Lytechinus pictus: one gene and its partner. The protein of the gene in region 2 interacts with the protein of the main gene of each other region in a biochemical or structural test. Links are inferred from orthologs where the notes say so. Each region holds a gene or a part of one and is shown on either strand. Other genes may lie near its edges.

Region 1 (7,716 bases), on a different chromosome or scaffold from region 2:
GAGAATTCTCCATTTCCACAAGTACTGTATATAATTTTCATATTTGGGATAGCAAGTGCGAAATTTTCTTGATTGTATTTCCTCTAGTTGTCATTTTTAAAGCACTGAAATAAAGGCGATATGCATGCTGTAGTCTTGGCGAAGAACAAAGAAAACAAGATGGCGACGTAAACACGGTGGCAAGTATTCCCCGTCTTTTCATAATAATTTTCTCGTTTTTTTAATGAATTCTTGTTTAAAAATGAAATCAATATCGTAGAAATGTCGGAAATTGAAGTTGTATCCCATTTACATGATTAAGGGCTAGATCTTTTCGAAGGAAAGTAGAAATCTCTGGGAAAAATTTCAGTTTTTTTCGCGGTACACACACATGAATGGGAACGCATTCCCTGCCTCCATGGAGAGTAAGCATACATGTACGTTAGTACATGTAGTTCTAAATGATTTTTACTCTCTAGGAGCCTCCTGGCTAGGCGGCCGTCACATGGCAAAACGATGTACCGGTATCTGAATATTTTGACTTTTTCAGGTTTTGACATTTGGTGGGGTTTTTCAGGGAGCTCTTTTCATTTATCTTACTCTCATAATTACAGGTATTTTAGTTTTCAAGATACATTTGTAGCTTGGGCTATCTGCAGTACTTTTTTCAAATTTGCCTACTCGTTTGATGGTAAAAGGATGTATCTTACAGATACACTCCAAAAGTGCCGCAGAAGAGCGCAATGATCTTTGGTAAAAAGATGTATCTGTTAGTTACACTTTTCTTCCATCAAATGAGTGAGCGCACCCAGCTTCGTGAAATATGGCAAAAGGATGTATCTGCAACATATATTTTTACCATAATCGGTGAACCACGAACTTCATAGACTAGTTGATGGCAAAAAGATGTATCTGCACAACATACAAACTGTGTGCCACGAATTTCAGAGACTAGTTTATGGCAAAACAGTGTACATGTATCTGCAACCTACTGTACATCTTTTTCCACAAATTGTGCCAACAAAAGTCAGATACTAGTTTATGGTAAAAGTGTGTATGTGCAAATTACACCCTTTTACCAGTTGTCATATCTTTAAAGTTTTAAAGGCTTGTTTCATGGCTAAATTGAATTTGACCTTAAACACAAAATGATGTATTTTTGATCTGCAAATACATCACTTTGCCATGATTCAACCATAGAAACTAATCGATGTACATGTATGTGCAGATACACCTTTTTGCCATGATATCGCTGTAGGAATTGTATGATGTACATGTATCTGCAGATATATCATTTTGCCATAAACGTAGGACTAATGTGGACAGTTGAATATCTTGGCTACATGATGGTGTATCTACATAAAAAAAGTTATTTTGATGAAAAACAAAAGTTAAATGTTATAAAAACTATTAAGGGAGATGAATTCAATGACATTCTTATAAATCTAAATTATCTAACTAAATTCAACACTGGGAAATTTTCTTTTGAAGACAAAAGCTGTAACTTCAAAGTGATTTTTCTAAGAATGTGCATTTTGCAGATACATGTACATCGTTTTGCCGTGTAACGGCCGTAGGTGTATACATGTAGAGACAGTGATTTTCCGTTTAAAAAAATGGTCTTTTCCATTTCTGAAAATCTGTTATTCTGTTTCAACTTGATCTAAAAATGGAAATTCTGTTTTGTCACTGAAAATGCACACAGCAAAAACCTGAATTCCATTTTGCAAAGGTGAATTCCATGAATTTTTACATGAAAAGTACAAGAACCAACAGAATTTCCGTTTTACATGTATGTACCGGTAAAACGGAAAATCACTGTCCCTACATGTAGGTGTACTGGTATTGGTAAGCTGATTGTTGGTATAGTCCAGAATTCATTGTTGCATATTTTGTTTTCATTCTTATGCCCTTTATCATCTATCAAAAGGGGGAACTGAGCAGTTCATTCAGAACTCGGTCAGAACAAGTGACAACTGCTATTAAAGAGTAAAGTTAGGCTAAAAGACCACTCACACGTATTGTGAGGTTAGTAGGGCTTTTAGCGATATCAATAACCTTTCTCTCTTGATCAATAATACCCGCAATTATGTAGGGACACAGTGATTTTCCACGATTTCACGGAATTCACGGAAATGGCCCTTTGAAAGTGGCGTTTCAAACGGAAAACATATTTTTCATCAAACTGCACAGAACAGCAACAGAAATTACTCAAAAATCTCACAAAAATACTAGCCACAAAACACGATCTCACCCCACTTTGTTATTATTATAGCGAATCCAAACATCGTGACTGCACTCGACTCTATTCGATCGAATCGAAAACATCACAAGCGCAAGCTCAACTAACGTAGGACAGCCGAGCTGTGTGTTGCTGCCCTCTATGTTTGAACATGTACAGCACGATATCAAAATGGCTGATAATCAAAAGATGTTGACTGCTCAGAACGATGTCCAAAAAGCCCCAAAATTATCGATAAAACTTCATCCAACCCTAAAAAAATGCCAATAACGTGAAAGGTGAGGATGTATTTTTGCTATTGTTAAAGATGCCATGTAGCCATTTACATCCGATGAACGCGTATTTCAAAGCATTATTGGTACAGTGGCAGATACAAATTTTGGCCAACGCGAGTATGTGACATCGCTATAATGCATAAAAATGCGTATTGATTATGTTCTTTTGTCGATATCGTTAAGATACTTTAAGCATGATATCGACAGAGAATTTTCTCAACGATAACAGCCCTCGAGGTTAGTATGCTATACTACATGTAACCTTGCACTACAAACGTGTCTACGCGTGGATATTTTAGTTGTCAGTTAACACCGCTTCATAATGGATTTAATGTTATCCGAAACTCATTCCGCTACTCACCAGGGGTTTTTCTGGTGATGGGCGTTCCATTTAGAATTTTTATATCATAGCACATAAAAGAGCAAAATCGCTTACCTCGGCCAGGAAAGTGGCTTCGCATGTCTCTTCCACGGAAATGAGAGGAAGGTCATTGGTGGCGCTAATACAATTCACAACCTTAATTCAGCTCGTCTGTATTTTATAACTAGAAAAAGTCAAGATTCTAGATTCATTGTACATGTATGCGATATTCCCATGATTGTTTGATAAAATGTAGACACCAATAAATGCAATAACTTAAAAACATACTTTTTAGATTATTTTTGCTGACGATAATACTTTTTGAAACATTCAAAGCGATGACAAATAAAACAAAAAAATAGACAATTCTATGTGCCTTGAACGAAGCCAGCAGTGCTACTGTTCGTTTGTCAACGAACTTTCCACCAAAGTCTTTACTATAAAAAGATTGGACACTTTGCCGACTTCGCGTAACGCTTTGCATCGATTTACGTGTAAAATAGTTTTTGTGGCTAGTCCTTTCAATCTAGTGTCTTTGATATGAAGATAAATCGCGCGCCCTCTTTAGCTAATTGGATGAAAAGTTTTGGAAATTAAAAGACGGATCCATATTTTATCAATGAAAAGAGAAATCAGCGATTAAATGACGCTATTTGAGAGATATGCATGATTTGGGGAATTGACTTCACATCGTTCGGTAAGTTTTGTAGAAGGACTTGATTTTATAAAACCTCTTTTTAAATTCGCGGGATTGCCATGCAATTGTTGCAATTTTGTATGCGCTGTGCCTTCAATTTTCTTGTAAAGCACCCATGGCCAGGGTGGGCTAAGCCTAAGAGTAAGATCGTAGACGAGAGTAAGAACTAACAAGTGGAATGCCTCTGGCCGTCTCACCTGCATCACGCGATTCAATATAGCAGCAGTGCTGATTTTGAAAACTACTATAACTCGCACAAGATGTTCAGTGATACTTGGTTACTCTTATTTCCACGTTTTATGAACTAGACCAATACACTTATAGAGATATGATGGCAATTCAACAAATACCCCCAACGTGGCCAAAGTTCTTTGACCTTACATGACCTTTGACCTTGATCATGTGACCTAAAACTCGCACAGGATGTTCAGTGATACTTGATTACTATTATGTCCAAGTTTTATGAACTAGACCAACACACTTTCAAATTTATGGCTGTAATTCAACAAATACCCCAATTTGGCCAAAGTTCATTGACCCTAAATGACCTTTGACCTTGATCATGTGACCTGAAACTTGCACAGGATGTTCAGTAATACTTGATTACTATTATGTCCAAGTTTCATGAATCAGCTCCATAAACTTTCAAAGTTATGATGGTAATTCAACAGATACCCCCAATTCGGCCAAAGTTCATTGACCCTAAATGACCTTTGACCTTGGTCATGTGATGTGAAACTCATGCAGGATGTTCAGTGATACTTGATTAACCTTATGTATAAGTTTCATGAACTAGGTCCATATATTTTCTAAGTTATGATGACATTTCAAAAACTTAACCTTAGGTTAAGATTTTGATGTTGATTCCCCCAACATGGTCTAAGTTCATTGACCCTAAATGACCTTTGACCTTGGTCATGTGACATGAAACTCAGGCAGGATGTTCAGTAATACTTGATTAACCTTATGGCCAAGTTTCATGAACTAGGTCCATATACTTTCTAAGTTATGCTGTCATTTCAAAAACTTAACCTCAGGTTAAGATTTGGTGTTGACGCCGCCGCCGCCGCCGCCGCCGTCGGAAAAGCGGCGCCTATAGTCTCACTCTGCTATGCAGGTGAGACAAAAATAGTAAGACTAAGACTCTAAAGAGTAAGACTAAGACAAGTGCTACACAGTCCGACCTCTCTTATCCTGCCTCTCCTTATCCGGATCTCTCTATTATCCGGAGATTTCTTTTTTTTCAATTCAATCTAGTACGTGAGGAAATGAGATTTCAATCTAAACTCAATCCTATACAAAAACTCACTTTGATTACATATATTTTCCAATATAGTCTACCTACAACAGCATTATTTTTCAGAACTTAGGCAAAATAACTTTCCAGTAAATCAGGGCGCAGCGCAAACAATTCATCACGTTCTCTTTTGTTTCCCGGGAAAAACAATGCATGTCTCGCTAGCTAACGCTAGGACTCAATACGGACAGCGCCATCTATCATATCATGTTTGAGCCTACAGTCAGTATAACAATGGCTGACATTGCGAAGCTACGATACCCGTCGCTTTGATCTAATTGTAAAACCAGGTAACAGTGGGTCAAAGAATTGTGACTGGTACTGTAGTTTCATCGAGTCATTCTCTTTCTTTTGAGGTATGCTCGATGTATACCTCAATCATTTTAGCAGGTAAATCATCCAACAGTTTTTGCCATCGATCGGTTTCATTTCCGTAAAAATACCGCCTATAATTTGCACTGACGCTGCAGTGAATACTGTCTGTACACCCTAGATAACCTGCACTGCAGCTACCGCCGTTTGTTGGGGAGGCTATAGAGTACCGAAGTGTGACGTCAGTTGACATGGTGTCATGGCGGGCTGGTTCTAAACAGAATCGCACCCGACTATCGTCTGTACACATTTTGGCTCCTCTGAAAAATAGATTGCAAGCGATCATTCCGATAGCAGCCATTTTCTCCTATGACAAACGCACGCTTTCATTCTGGGTTCATTTGTTTAGAACCAGGCCGCCATGACACTCATTCTGGGTTCATTTGTTTAGAACCAGGCCGCCATGACACCATGGCAACTGACGTCATCGCTTCGGTACTCTATAGCCAGGCGGCTTCTAGAGAATAAAAATCATTTACTAACGTAAGGTTACTCTCATACGAAGCCAGGCAGCCCTCCCCATTCATCTGCGTGTACCGCAAAAAACCCTGAAACTTTCGCCCCCGAGATTTCTACTTTCCTTCTAAAAGATCTAGCTCTAAATCATGTAAATGGGATAAAACTTCATTTCCGACATTTCTACGCTCTCGTTGTTATTTTTAAAACAAGAATTCATCAAAAAAATGAAAAAATATTGTGAAAAGACGGAAGAGACTTGCCCGATGTTTACGCCGCCATCTTGTTTCTTATTGTACTTCCCCAACGTTACGGATGCGAGCGTCGCGTAACGTTGGGGAAGTACAATAAGAAACAAGAAACAAGTATTCAACCTGGCATAATTCAAAGATTTTGACATATTCCCCAAAATATTTAGAAATAGGGAATTTATCTTAATTTCACACCTTTGTTATTTCCAGAGTAATCTGTTGTCGATATTTTCTTTGTCAATCTGTCGACTGTATGCGCGGAGGATCGAATTATGCGGCGATGGCCTTTTGCACTGAATGGTACTAGTATTCAACCTAGTGAGGATTGATAGCAAATCTCAAAAGGGTTTAGATTGCTAAATTAGATCTAGATCTATGTAAATCTCTGGCTTTGATTAATTCCCTGTTTGGTCTCATCTCAAATGGTCTAGTCCATAGTCGGATGGGACAAGGGCAGATTGAGAGACAGGGCCATCTTTCATCGCTAGGTTGAATACTAGTGCCGACGGGTTGAATACTACTTACTAGTACCAAAATCCGTCGCCGACTATAATTCGATCGCCCGCGCACACAGTCAACTGGTTGAAGAAAAAAATAACGGAAAAAGAATAACCAGCATTTGCTCTTGGAAATAAGACGGGTCTGAAATTCAGGTAAATTCTATATTTCTATATATTTGAGGAAACTCTCCAAACGGGTTGAATACTAGTGCCCTTACGGTACACGCAGATGAATGGGGAGGACTGCCTGGCTTCGTATGAGAGTAACCTTACGTTAGAAAATGATTTTTACTCTCTAGAAGCCGCCTGGCTAGGGAGGCAGCAGCTGCGTGTATTTAAAGGAGAATGAAACCCTTGAAACCAGCTGAATCCATATCAAAGAGAAAAATCAAAGAAACATATTGTTGAAAATTTGAGGAAGATTGAATGAATAATATTATAGGAGTGGGCTATAAATGGGTGATTTTTGGTTTTACTGTGGGAACAGTTTTTTTGTGTTCCTTTTACCTTATCTCAACATGAAATGACAATATTTTTTGTCTCGGGTCCGAGAAAAAAGTGTGCCGGGCCAAAATCCAAAATGGCCGCCAAAACCCCCCAAAATCACAGTTTTGGCCACAACTTTTTTATTTGGTGGTCAATTTCTCTGGTTTTGGTGTCTATTCATATGTTTTGGGGGGCAGGCAATTTGTTTTTCCTATAATAAGTACTTTTAAACCATTATTTGTAGAGTTAAAAGGTAATTATACCTAAATTTTCCCATTTTTGTAGCCTTTTTTCAGCCAAAAAGTGGGTTTTATCATCCTGGGGTTCTGGGATATTAGATGGTAGGAGGTCAACAATAGCAAGCAGCTTCATATAGCTATATTGCTTTTATTCCTCCATTTTGGGTTTTTAAGGATATTTGTGAAATATATCTCATCAAATAAAAGAAAATGTCATTTATCCATAGGGGCTATACGGTGTACAATGCACTGTACATACTACATGTACACTGCATATATCCATGCATTGACCACCATGGCATATGTCAAGGCCTGTATATAAACTATAGTGTCATAGAAATGAGCTTCAAAGGTTTAGAATTAGATTGTGAATTTGATTCCTTGTCAGCTGATGTACATGATGAAACCAGCAACGTAAACTGCACTTAAATATCACATACATGTATATATCGTATAGGTACATCACATTTTTAGCCATATCTTCTTCATTAGGAGGCTTTTTTTTACCTGGTTCTGGTGTCTAACTGGCCTATAGATGTTTATGGGGTCAGGTAACTACTA
Region 2 (7,547 bases):
GAATTTGGGGGCTATTTCTATCATTTTAAGGGCTACTTTTCAGAGGCAACTAGCAATTATGCAGTAAAAGCAAATATTATAATGCCATAGTTAGAATTAGATTTTCTAAATAAGTTTGAATATTGTTTGTGAAAGGTCGCGGGGTGACTCTAGAAAGAATGGTCGCCCCAAAGCATTTTTAAGGGAATTTTAGGGGCGATTACAGCAGTTATGAGGACAAAATCGCCCGTCGCCCTCATCTATTCCTTTTGCTGTTAAGGATTTACTTTTAAATCTCAAAACATTGAAATTAAAATCTATTAGCTATATTCAAATCCACAAGATTTAAAAATAGATCTAATATTTGGCCGATCACTATTCACAGCTGATCCAGATTTATTTTTAAATCCTTGGAATTTAGAGTGTATGAGTCAATAAACTTTTGATCAAACCCGAATTAAAATAAATACTAAATATTAGTAGAAAATTTGCTTCATCAAATCAATACTGGTAAAATATTGTACTTGTAAGCTCCTCACTAAACTAGTACAAATGTAAACATTACTATGAATTTACAAATTATATATTTTCCCTCATTTATTGATGGAAAATAATTATGCCAAGGCTTCAGTCACAACAATGAGTAGCCTGCTCAGGCACCGCTGGAATCTAGACAAGATATTTGTAGAAGTCTAGCGAGCTGTAGGTTAATACCTATTATATACTCAAGGCCAAATGTGGGTCAAATCAGGGGAACTTTTCTGTTTGGTGTCCAAGCAGTGATCAGCTGATGACCCACTGATTCCCGGGTAGTCTCCCACCGGCCACCGGCCTATTTTTAAGTAATCGCCCAGCCGATCTTGAATTCGCCGCGAGATCATCGACCGATCTCTGAGCGGCCAGTGGCCGGAGACCAGCCAGTGACCTTCAACAGTCTTTGATCCAACAAGTTCAATGCCTAAATCATTCGATGTTGACCGCTCGATTACGTTGGCACCCAGACAGCGACCACCCGCGCACCGAGCGTATTCAAGGCAGTGAGTGATAAAAGAACAGGTGCCTCCAGAATTTTAACTCCGTGCTTAATAATCTTTAGCGACGACTGAGCGATGCCAAAAAAAACCAGTGGTGCCCAGACGGCCGCCGCTCTGTGCCCAGGCGAAATTGGCTAAAAACTCACCGAACAGGCTAATTTGAGGGGGTGTGACCGTAGCCTAAAGTAGAGGGTTCAATCCAGGAATATGGACCATGCGAAATGTACATCTTCCAACTTTATTAAAAAAAAAACACTTGGGGCCTGAGATTACTTTACTTACCAAAATGGCCAGAAAAGGACTATAAAAAAATCCTCATAAACAAGCCCACTGCACAAAAGGGCCCCCCTCATTTCTTAATGTTCCAGTTTAAATGTTCAACACTATCAAAAGAGCTACGAAGGTCATTATCAACTATGTATGATCTGCCATAATATCATGATTAGAATAAATGTACCCCAACAGATATGGCATTAGTTTGTCTGAGGTACACCCAGCATTACAGGTAAGGGTGTGATTTATTCACGGACTAATTTTTTACAACCCAGTTTGAATGTTGAGACTGAAATGCAATTAAATAGGCAATGGCTCACTGCCAAAAACCCAGACTTCAAAGGAGAAGTTCAAATTTACAGCGTTGATCAGAGTCAATGAAAAAAGTAGGGAGGAGCAAGTTATTCTACTCACTCAAACCATGGACCTATTGTAGGTCCATGCTCAAACAAGCTGAACCCCCGAGGGGGGGGGGGGCTAAATTCCCCAAAATTTTTATGATCAATCCATAGTGAAAAGCTTGCAATTAATTGATTCATGACTTTTTTCTTTCAAGTCTTACCTAGTTTTTTAGACAAAACTTGCAACCCCCGGATACGCAGTTCAAAAATTTCTTATTTATACATTATTTTAAAAATATCAAATTTCAATACTTCCATGTCTACTTTTCAATAGTAATGCAAAGTTTAGTTGTAACCTCTTTCTCCAAAACTAATTACAATGTACCTCACACATCCATCAACTGAATTTATTTTTTCCTAATCTGAATGTAGTTCCCCTTTTTAAAAGCACTCTCCTTACTATGAACAGATAAATTATAAAGTGCATTCGTGATCAAGTATTTGTTTTCGTTTTGAAACTTCTCAAATTAAAAACCAGCACTGGGAATTAGATTAATTTCTAATTTAAGAACAACTTAACCATTATCTTCATCGAATTTCTAATAACTGATTATTTTTCCCAAACGATTAGACCTCAGATCATTAACACTTGAAGACTATTATGTAGCAGGATATAATAATAGCATACTTCTTTAACCAAGGAAATGCCATTCAGAGTAAAGTGAATCGTATAACAATGGCACACTTGAGAGCAAAAATTTGTTATTCTCCATGTAACGACAGAAAGATAAAGACACTGCACTTTACAGATATAAACATATACATATCATTAACAACAATGGATGCGTATAATCTTGGTATCATGAATAAAAGCCATGTCTTGCCTTTTCAAGCACAAGATTGAATTATATTGTTCTGCTTCTTAGCTGCTTATTTGTTAATGTTTTATTTCAAATGTTAATCTTGTATTTCATTTTTTATTATTTGAATTGAATTGGGAATATCAAAATAGTAATAACTGAGTGTCATGTACTTCCAATTATGAATACATGCGATATACAAGTGGCCATTATCACCATCATCACCATCATCATCATCATCATCATCATCACCATCATCATCACCATCCCCATCATCAGCATCAGAATCACCATCACCATCATCATCATCAATTCATCATCACCATCATCATCATCATAACCACCATCATCACCATCATTATCACCATCATCACCACTATCATCATCATCATCATCATCTTCATCATCATCATCATCATCATCATCATTTTCATCATCATCATCATCACCATCGTCGTCTTCATCATCATCATCATCATCATCATTTTCATCATCATCATCAATATTTTATCAAATAATATATCTTGAAAAATGAAAGTATTTGTAATCTACTCACTCTTTATAATAAATGAATTAAAAATATTTACCGATGGTAATCCAACAACCTCCATCGCTCTGATCCACTGCACTGTGTTATCCGTGTGTCTAAAATGAAGTCCTTTGGCCTAAAAAAATAAAAATATTTAAAAACCTTACAAAAAGGTGTAAACATATAGGAAAATTCATGTGAAAAAGGAACAAGCGGAACATTATCCGGGGAGCGTTTCATAAACATTTTCTTCCGAAAAGTTGTCAGGTCTGACAACTTTCCTTGATAATGATTGGCTGAGAGGCACTGTTACCATAGTTACTGTCGGATAAAACAGTACTTGTCGGATAAAAAATCTAACAAGTCCTTTCATGAAACGCTCCCCTGATCATTGACTTTCAAGGCATAATAATATTCTTTTTTTTTTAGATTGTGAAAGAAAAAAAAACACTCTATAGACATCCGCAGCAGAAAAAAACACTTGAATTCCATTCAAATACTGTCATGTCGGTGCAAGAACACCATTAACACCATACTTTTGTACATCGCATGCGCGCAAAAACGCCCTGAGTAGCAAGCATTAGGGCATTGCGTAAGGGCGATCCTGCACCAATGGGGTGTGTGGAGATGTTTTGCTAAGGGCGTTCTTGCACCGACAGGACGATATGGCCTTCTTGGTAGTAATGAAAAAATATATATATCAATTATTGTATATGCTTCTATCAGATAAAATCCTAGAAATTATTATCTCTTACTTGTGTTCTGAACACATAATACTAATACCTAATAAAAGAGTGCTGTATAGACCTGGGTCCCGTAACACAAAGATTAGTGAATAATCGTACGCTTGATTTTCACGATTGATTGTACATTGTAGTCAACGCAATCAATCGTAGAAAAATGTTCTACGATCATTGCCAAGTTTTGTGTTACGGGCCTCAGGTGTGGGTTTCTTAAACTGTTCATAAGTTTACGAACGACTTTGAGAATGACTGATGATCCTTTCTTAGGAACTACATTAACGCCTATGAAAATCTGCTGTATTTCATTTACCACAAGAAAGGGTCACCAGTTGTACGTAAAGTCACTCGTTAGCATACGAACAGCTTCATGAAAGACCCACCTGGTTGTAGACAAACTAGAAATAGACCAAACACAAACAGTTATGATTGATCCAATCAATCGTAACTCTATGGAAATCCATGAGGGCCATAATTTTTCTACAAGAAATTTGCACAATGTCTTTTGTAAACAAAAGAGAACACACCAAATCATCAAGAAATCAATGAATTTATGGATACACATTCATATCTAGCCATTTTTTAAAACAAACATGCATTTTATAGGTTGACTTTGCTGGCTGTCCATAGTTGTGATTGATCGGATCAATCGTAACTCTTTGTAAGACGGGGCCCTGGGGGCTCTTTCATAGAGCTGGTCGTAACTTGAGAGTGACTTTAAGAACAACTGGGGATCCTTGCTTTCGGGTAAATGATATTCACCATTAAATGTTCATTGGTGATATTTAGAGCGTAAGAAAGGTTCGCCAGTCATACGAAAAGTCTCTCGTAACTTGCCAACAGCTTCATGAAACACCCATCCAGGTCCCATAATAATACCGGTTGATCAGGGACTGATTTCCATGTTTTATTGCATTGATTATTGTGCACGATCAATCACAAAAATCTGCCACAAGATCAATCGCTTAATATTTATATGTCACAGGATCCTTGACCTATTCTTTTTCTTCTGGTGGAATTAGTTCTTTACATGCGTTTCAAGGTATATATATTTTTCTCAACTGTTCCCATCCTTTTTATTTTTTATGTTGAGTATTTCTTTTAACTGTCATGGAAAATATAACAAAGGAGAAATAAGCATGCAACTTCATCTCATCTATTTATACAACTGAACAACATTTAAAAAGCGTCGGCCCATGGACCGAAAAGTATTCTAACCTTTGGGAGCAAAGGAAAGCCGCATCAGCTTCCACTTTTGTTTGTTATCGACATCCAACAGTCCTAAATTGATCCTGATTGTTTCTGATAAAATGGAATCTTACAGCCTTGGGGGACTAAATACTATATTTAGAGATCTCTTTGGGAAGTACAGGGAACGAGGGGTAACGAGTGACCGAGCAGTAGAAGATAATCCTCCAACAATATCAATAAACTTAATTGACAAACAAAACAACCTGCTTTTTTATATATTTTAATATTGGGGAAAAAAACCAACAAGTCCCAAATTGGCAAGCTTTTTAATGAGGTTACATAATTCTCCCTTTTTTTGGCTCAGGCTCCCTTCCTCATCATTATTATCATTATTGTTGTTGTTGTTGCTACCATTATTATTAATTATTATTATTATTGTTGTTATTATTATTATCAATATTATTATTAATTATTATTATTATTGTTATTATCATTATTATTATCATCATTATTATTAATATTATTATTACTACTATTATCATTATCATTATTATCATTTTCACATTATCATGAATTATCATCATCATCATTTTAATTATTACTATTGTCATCTTCATCACCATCATTATTTCCAACAATGAAAACCAGGGATTTGAACATGACATCACTTGACAGATCATCTGGTCATTAAAACGAGGCATTGCTTTTCCCAAAAATTTCATACAGCGGTTTGTCACCCAGCTTGTATTTAATATAGGATGAGAATAGCGCTAAATGAACGTGACAAATATATTTTTAGTCTACATGTAAATGCTGAGCTTTAAAAAAAAAGAGCATGAATTAAAAAACCATTTTGAAACAGGCATGATTTATTTGTTAGTTATAGAGTTGTGATGCTTCGGTTTGCCTGTGATCAAAGATCATATCTCCCTAAAGGACACATGGGGCAACAAGGAAAGTGTCTGAAGCAGCTCCTCGGAGTGCAATCACCAAGACGCAAACTACCTTCTCTGTAGTCCGTTGCCATGGAAACATCTATTTTCATCCATTTCGGCGGAAGACAAAGAATCAACAGGAAGTGAGTTTGTTGCATGGTAACTGACTTGAGAAGTCAGGTGTGTTCAACTTTCTCAGGAATCACTTGCAAATCAGATAAGACTTTCCATTTCTGGTTTGTTCCTGTATTATGCGCTGGTGTGTTCTTCTCTATTCTCCAAATTTATGAAATACATGTAGATTCCTTTCACACAATCACCAGGGAAACTTGCACGAGTAGCGGGGAGGGGGGTGGTTTACACCCCATGATTGTATAAAAATTTAATTTATGCCTTGCCAAGAAAAACTGAACGAAAGAAATTATTTAAGTGGGGGTGTCGTCGTCTAGTGGTTATGACTCTCGTCTTTCAATCAGAGGCATGTGGGTTCGTATTCCAGCCATGGCGTGTTTTCCTTCAGCAAGAAATTTACCCACATTGTGCTGCACTCGACCCAGGCAAGGTGAATGAGTTCTCGGTAGGATTTATTCCTTGACACTTTAGTGTCGAAATGGCTTCTCAGCTAAGGCCGGGGTAATAATATGATATCAAGTATCAAAGCACAGCTGAGTATATGCATACAATAAATGTGCAATATAAATGGACATATTATTATTATCATTATTATCATTGCACCAAATAATAGTCACAGGGCTCGACATTACATGTAGCAGTGGCCCGGCGCAACCAAAAATGAGAGACGGGCCACCAAACTTCTGTAAAAGCCCACAATTGGTGGCCCAAAGTTTTTGGCTACCAAAGTTTTGCTAAATTGTACTGTTTTCTATTGTTTAGGGCCACCAAATTTGCTTTGCGGGTCATCAAAAATATGAAATTGATTGGGTCACCAAGAAAAAAAAGTTGGTGTGGAGCCTAGCAATTGATCACCAAAGGGTAGATCAAAATTCAAAACCTCATCTGAATGCCTTTATTTTGGTAATGTACATGAACTTGTCAGAAGAGAAGGCATTTATAAAGCAGGTCTGTCCATCATGAAGGCATCACATTATTTCATGGTAAGGGCAGCCTCATATAGAAACAAAATTGGGTCTCCATGAAAAATTACTCCATTAAAGGGCGCATGTTTCTTTTCATAAAGACCTACAAATATAGTATAAAATTAAGTTTTGAACAAAATTAACACTTGTCACTGCTGAATGAAATAAAGGTTATCTGCCTATGTTTGTTAATCTCATGTAAGCTTATCCATGTTTCAAACAAACATTCTCTTTGATTCTCCACATAGATCTATGAAATGAATCTTCCTCAAGTTCACTGCACTTGTAAAAGCTAATCCCTCTGGTCTATCCACTGCCCTTTCAAATTAGAGCGAGAGATAAAAACAATTAACAATGACCACAAGTACTAGCCATGGCTGATGATATGTCTGGTGTGGTTCGGTATATGCCCTCAATTCACACCATCAGAATTTATTGTACACCCAAGGAATTGGCACCAGGGAATAAAAATATGCGGGGGCTCAGGGCAGTCCCCCCCCCCCCCCCGAATGCTCAAAAGAGCCCTGGAAAATTTCCATTCAATGCAATGTCATAGCTTTCCAATGCT

What was found.
Region 1: the proteins of ras GTPase-activating-like protein IQGAP1 (region 2) and cdc42 homolog form a complex in vitro, tested with the Homo sapiens proteins (6 studies listed by BioGRID and IntAct). The link is inferred for Lytechinus pictus from reciprocal best matches to the Homo sapiens genes IQGAP1 and CDC42.

What each region holds. Positions count from the first base shown.
Region 1 is NC_087258.1:1,884,370-1,892,085, forward strand, and holds the start of cdc42 homolog, read right to left. Parts: upstream 3,042-7,716; 5' UTR 2,933-3,041; intron 1-2,932. UniProt on the Homo sapiens protein: Plasma membrane-associated small GTPase which cycles between an active GTP-bound and an inactive GDP-bound state. In active state binds to a variety of effector proteins to regulate cellular responses. Involved in epithelial cell polarization processes.
Region 2 is NC_087249.1:12,742,582-12,750,128, forward strand, and holds the start of ras GTPase-activating-like protein IQGAP1, read right to left. Parts: upstream 3,160-7,547; 5' UTR 3,099-3,159; coding exon 3,075-3,098; intron 1-3,074. UniProt on the Homo sapiens protein: Plays a crucial role in regulating the dynamics and assembly of the actin cytoskeleton.